Cricetulus griseus: one gene and its partner. The protein of the gene in region 2 purifies or fractionates together with the protein of the main gene of each other region. This does not show direct contact. Links are inferred from orthologs where the notes say so. Each region holds a gene or a part of one and is shown on either strand. Other genes may lie near its edges.

What was found. The genes of interacting proteins can lie anywhere in the genome.
Region 1: the proteins of Rheb (region 2) and Rptor purify together in Homo sapiens (affinity purification with western blotting, with the first as the bait; 3 studies listed by BioGRID). This does not show direct contact. The link is inferred for Cricetulus griseus from reciprocal best matches to the Homo sapiens genes RHEB and RPTOR.

What each region holds. Positions count from the first base shown.
Region 1 is NC_048600.1:132,394,650-132,398,301, reverse strand, and holds part of Rptor (regulatory-associated protein of mTOR), read right to left. Parts: intron 3,163-3,652; coding exon 3,056-3,162; intron 1,363-3,055; coding exon 1,235-1,362; intron 645-1,234; coding exon 558-644; intron 1-557. UniProt on the Homo sapiens protein: Component of the mechanistic target of rapamycin complex 1 (mTORC1), an evolutionarily conserved central nutrient sensor that stimulates anabolic reactions and macromolecule biosynthesis to promote cellular biomass generation and growth.
Region 2 is NC_048601.1:97,742,227-97,744,902, reverse strand, and holds part of Rheb (GTP-binding protein Rheb), read right to left. Parts: intron 1,259-2,676; coding exon 1,202-1,258; intron 1,107-1,201; coding exon 1,059-1,106; intron 448-1,058; coding exon 366-447; intron 1-365. UniProt on the Homo sapiens protein: Small GTPase that acts as an allosteric activator of the canonical mTORC1 complex, an evolutionarily conserved central nutrient sensor that stimulates anabolic reactions and macromolecule biosynthesis to promote cellular biomass generation and growth.

The sequences.
Region 1 (3,652 bases), on a different chromosome or scaffold from region 2:
ACTTCATACCATAGATAAGGGGGAAAGAACATTACTCTGAAGGAATGGTGGCTTCACAACAGTAAATTATGCTTTGCTGTCTCTTTAACAGGCAAATAAAGATTCGCTGCTCTCAGCACAGTATTTACTGAGCAGCAGGCCTGAATTTATGTGCAGAGGCTGGCTGGTGATGAGGCAGTCTGCTGGGACAGCCAGCCTGCTTGGGACTGTGCTGCCAGGTGCATCGTGCTTTGCTGCCCCTGCGACTACAGGAGGGACACACCTGCCTCCTCATCTCATTCAGACAGATGGATGCGAGTGCGAATGTACACACACACAAGCACCCCCCCACAACACACCCACAACACACCCACCCACCCACACACACACACACACACACACACACACACACACACACAAACTCTCTGCACTCTGACCTTTCTGGCCAGTCACAGTGTAGAGTCAATTACTGCTCTGAAATGCCATAGTCCCTAGCTGTTTAAATATCAAGGACATATTTAAATGGAGGGGAAACAATGTTTTCACAGCAAACGTCTTGTGCATATGTTGCTCCTTACCTCACACTCACGATGTGGCCCTCAGGGTGCTTCTGCAGGTAGGCCTTTACCACCCACGCTGTGTGCTCTCGGTAAGTCATGACCCGGCTAAAGGAGGAAGGTGCAGTCAGGCTGGGCCCAGCCCAGTCCCTCTTCTCCCATAGCCCATCGGCCAGGGAATTGCAGGGAGGGCGAGGAGGAGCAGGTGTGGCCTGGCGTCTCTGCCCCTGGGCAGAACCTCAGGAGGACACCCAAGTTGGAGCTGCTGGCTAGGCTGTATTAGGCCACTCCCCTTATCTGTCTAGCCTCCAATTCCCTAGTTCTGGCCTTGAAATTTGGATGCTATTTTGGGATGAAGAAGGCCTACTAGACCCGCCTGAGATGGCAGCTTAGTGAGAAGGCCACTCTGTTCCTCTGTCTCTGTGGGGTCAGCTTCAAGAGGTTTTCTCTGAGAGACAGGCCACAGGGCTGTCAGACAACTGGACAGCAGATGAAGATGGAGAATGAAGACACACAAGCCCAGCTATGACCCTACCGAGCATTCTCTGTAGCCCAGGTGCTGCCTTCTCGCCTGAGGTCAGAGCTCCACTGTAAACTGAAGACACTTCACGCTCAGAGGAACCTGGACCCTACACTGACAGTGGAGTGGCCTCTGCCATCTTAAACGGCACTGAGGAGAGGAGAGCTGTGACAGTTACCATTCACTGAGTGCCATCCTCCTGTCGTAGACTCGGATGGAGCCATCGCCCAGGCCAGCCACAATGAGCGAGCGGTGGGAATCACAGGACAGACTTGTCACACAGCTGTCAGCACCGGTGGGAATGTCCTAAGCCCCGGGAAAAAAGAGCCGTGAGGAGGGGCCTCCAGCTGCTGCAGTCTTTTGTGCACATCTATTTCTTTCAGGCCGAGAAACAGGTCTCGACCTACGCGGCTATCGTAGGCTACAGGGCTTCAGGCATGAGGCTGATCTGCTTGCCTGTCTGCCTTGAGCCTGTGCCTGCAGGCCAGGCTGAGCAGAGCCTGTGAGCCCAAGCCTGGGCACAGCCTGGAAAGCAACTGTGGGTATGCCTGGCTCTCAGTGACAATTAACCTTTCCAGCAACATCTCCCTTTCCTGAAAAGAAAGATGAAGCACATTTTGGCAGGGAGGGAGCCTCGTTAGCTCTCTCCTCAAACCCCTAATTAGTCAGGGAAGAGCTGAGGAACTGCTTCTCTGCTCCCCTTGGTGCCATAAATACTGCAGAAGGGCAGGATGGGTGATGAATGGGAGCAAGAAGTAACGGGAGCTGGAGCTGGGTCTCAGGGGGAGAGTGCTCTCTAATCAGATGGGGCAAACGGGGAATTGTGGGGGGTTCTGAATGGGGAAAATTGCTAAAGAGCTAAGCTCCCTTCTTTGCAGCTGACTCGATGACACCCAAGGAAGCGCTGTACCTGCACATAGCCCCCTAGAAACAGGAGCAGCCAAGCACTGTCTTACTCCAATTGTCATGTGGCACCATGGGGTGTGAGGGTGCCATGGTGGCATGCTAGCGGTGTTGATGGACAGACCTCATGCCATGCCAGCTCCTGTCATTCCTGCCTGTCTCTGCCCCTTTGCCCTGCAGATGTCCACAACTGTCCATGTGCCACTCTGGCAGGGCAGGTTGGAGAATGCTGAGGCCAGGCTCTGCTCTGTGGCTCGCTGGGCACTGGGAAAACACATCTCTCAGCTACCTATGTGATGTCCTAAACAGTATCTGTGATTTTGCCCTGGACCCAAAGGAGGTAGGATCAACTGGACTCTGGCAAGGAAGCCCAGGTATCTGAGGCAAAACCTATTATTATGAAAAATTTGGAGCCACACTGGTCTATACAGTAAGATTATGTCTCAAAATCAAGCAATCTTGAAAATGAAAGATGGGCCAGGCAGTGGTGGAGCACGCCTTTAATCCCAGCACTCAGGAGGCAAAGGCAGGTGGATCTCTGTGAGTTCGAGACCAGCCTGGCCTCCAGGACAGCCTCCAAAGCTACAAAGCCACAGAGAAACCCTGTCTCGAAAAACCAAAAAAAAAAAAAAAAGAAAAAGAAAGAAAAAAGTAGGTAAGGGTCCGAGTTTCAGCTTAGTGGTAGCATACACAAGCCCGGCCTTCTGTGTCCAGCACCACAGGGTAAGGAAAGATGCAGACAGTCAAACAATTAACCATTCTCATTTAAGACAGTTCATCCTACTGATTTCTGATAGTTCCTAATTTGCATGGAGAAACAATATTTGGAAATAATTTGGATTAGTACAGGCTTAATTATGCTGAAATGCAGGGTCATTGTGCATCGAGAGGTAATCAGTTTCTCTCCTTGCAGCAAGATGCCATCTCCCCGCCGTCTCCCTGCAGACAGACAGGGCAGACAGTTGGGCAGCAGCCACTGACTGTGCTTGCCTGGAGGCCACAGGTCTTGGTTCTCTTTGATAGGGATGGGCTCTATTTTGTGGAGTGGGAGCATGGGGTGTCTGGTACTACATAGCATGGGGCCCGGAGTCGTTACCTGCACTTTCGTCTCACGGTCAGTGTCCCAGATTCGGACAATGCGCACGTCCCCTGAGCTCATGAGGAGGCCAGTTTCTTGTTCCCAGTCTACCACCATCCCAGCTCCTGCAGAAACACAGTGGGCCACTGTGTCAAACAGTGGCTCAGACAAGACGGGATCCCAGGCATGGCCTCAGTCATGTAAGGCCAGGCTGGTGCAGTAATGTTCAGATGAGCACTGTGCGCAAGTCCTCTGGTAGAGCAGACGCAGGTACCCATGGGATATCACCTCAGCAGAAGCCATGAGGGCAGGAGCTAGTCCATCCCTGGTCCTCAGTGCTGCAGGAGGCTCATGGCCACAGACACCGTGCCTCCTGAGGCATGAGTGAGGGCCAGCCATGACTATCAGCGGATAGTCCCTGAGCATTTCTCGGGAAAGCTGACACCATATGTGGACCCTCTGGGCTTCACTCGTTCCTCACCTCAGTCAGCTGAGACTTCTACAAGGAAACCACAGGCCACTCAAGCTTCCTTTCCCAAAGTTCCCACCGGTCCAGGCAGGTCTGACTGTGGCTGGATTTCTCCAAGATGGAGATTACCATTCAGCGGTCCTGGG
Region 2 (2,676 bases):
GCTGAAACTGTCAACAAAAGGACTCTTAAAATTAGTGCTTAAAATAACCATGCATCTGACTCACTTTCTACTGAAAAGGGACATAGTTGTAATACAGTTAAGTCTCCTTGTGTGTATCTTATTTCTGCTCCAGCCTATGGACACAGACACAGTAGCAATAATATGCTCACAATAAACATGCCCTTCTCTGTAGAATGGTTTTAAGCAGAAGATTATCAATCTTAAAAATATTAGACTCTCAAGGGAACTGGGATTGACATGTAAAAGAAGCTTGTTTCTAATTTAAAAATAAATAAATTAAAAAAATATCAGACTCTTTTGTAACTAACGAGGCTGACACAAAATAAGCTTTACAAACTATATACCTGATTTTCCTTTGCAGAAGATTCCAAAAAAGCTGCGTTCCAAGATTCTGCCAAAGCTTTCCCTTCTTCGTAACTGATCACCCTTAAAAGAAGGAAAAAGAAAGCCTTGACTCTTTGACATGTAGAACAGCTACGATTATTTATCAAGCAGCCCCACTCTGACCCATTCCACCGTGAAGCAGAACTGTGTGCTTTCCTTCTACTGTCAGGAAGTGACAGGAGCTGTAGTCCCGCCTGAGCTGGAACAGAACAGGCAAGTTTCAGGGTCATCTACGTGCCAATGAGCTCTTGCAGTTCAGGGAAGCAACTGCTTTCCAGTACTGCAGCATCAATCACGACAGCCATGCCATAGGAAGAGTTTAAGCAACTCAGGGCCCAGGAAAATCCCACCAGGGCCACCAGCCTAGGCTCCTCCCAATGCTCTGCCCTGAGCTCCCTGCACACGGTGTTCCTGCCCCTGTTCATCACTGTGATCACAACCAGTACACAAAGTACTGTATGGAAACTGAATAATATCTGTCTCAATAACTAACCCCAAGGGAATCTCCCGGTTTGCTCCTCATTGTCAACAAGTGTGGCATTTGTACGGTATATTGTTTCTGTTGTACACAGTGACAAAACTTTGGCCATGAGAAAATAATTTAAAAATGGTATTTTGCTGACTAAATCGCCTTGGACTTAAGAGCTACATACCTTTCCATATGCAGGTCCTTCTTATTTCCAACCAACATAATAGGTATCCTATTAGAAGAGACAAGAGCAGAGGTAAGTCAGGTCCACCATTCCCAGCTCAAGAGATGCTGGTTTGCGGTTCTAGAGAGAGACAGGCTACTTACTGCACTTTCCCCACCATATCCAGCAACTTGCCATGGATAACTTTAATTACTTCAAAACTACAAAACAAAAGCACAGGAGCAGATGTCATTTTAACCACAGATGATACTCAGTGATCCTTAGTGTGACTATACAAAGTAAGACAGGTTCATGCGTCTAGCACTGGGCTGACAAACCACAAGAACATGGACTTGATCCTCAAACTGTATCCATTAAATGGAAATCTGTAGAGCTTTTCGCAGGTAGTGTTCCCTAGTGATCAGCCCTGTTTGCTTTCCTTTCTTGTTTTTGAGGTAGTCTTGATGGAATTTGTTACATAGACCAGGCTTGGCCAGTTCTGTCTGTCTCCCCAGTGCTGGCATTAAAGGCATGTGACCACGGCTGGCTCCCCTCCTTTTCCATGAACCATTATTCACTGGGTGATGCTAACCCTGGATTTTTACTGTCATCGACGTGCTGATGACCCTCAAACATGTCATAATGATTAACTTAAAATCACTGCCACAGTGGGATCATTCACACCTCTGACTACTGACTAATGGGCACAAGCCATTCCTACCCTCACTCAGAAAACGTGGTGTGAGCACCGTCAGAACACACTGCATTACCTTTCAAGCTGCCCAGGACAGGATAGCCTTCCACTCCTCTCTGTGGTCCCTTAGCCTGGCTCTGTGCTTCTTCCCATGGCTGGCTTCCCCCTGGATGACTCTCAAGTCCTAACTTGACTTCCTTTCCTTCTGTCCCTTATCCCCTCTGCTGGGCCTCCAGCACTGCCAGACCATCCCACTGAAATGTTCTCCCCCTTGAGATCCAAGTCTTTACTTTATGGCTCTTTCTTTCCTCAGATTTATTTTTAAGTTATATATATATATATATGTGTGTGTGTGTGTGTGTGTGTGTGTGTGTGTGTGTGTGTGTGTGTTTGTGTGTCTATATGTGTGGGTGTCTGCATAATCTAGAACAGAGCACTGGAACCCCAGGAGCAGGAGTTACAGGCTGCTGTGGGCTACCCAATGTGAGTGTTGGGAACTGTACTTTGCAAGAACAGTGCACGCTCTCTAGCCTTTAATGGCTCTTCTTAGACTTGCTCACCCCACATAAACCCACAAACTCTCACAGCTCTCATTCCCTTCTTAAATTCTCTGTCACAGTACCACTGTCAAGAAACTTAAGACAGCCCAAGCTTTGAACAAAGACTGCTGAACGCAGCATCACACATACTGTTACTGATGAAAATTAAACTTTACTCCATTGAAGTTCACCAACAGGACAGGGCACCCCCATTTCTACAGGCTGTATTTGGATCCACAGTTCCTTTGCCTACACTGAATGAACCCATGAGAAACAGCTGGAAGGCTGGGACTGGGTGAGAGGCAGTGGGGACCAGCTTTCTTTCTAGTAAAGGTACTTTCCTCCTACCTCCTGGTGAGAGCTGGCCTAGTGACTACCTAACAATGAGCAGGGCACAAACATGGTA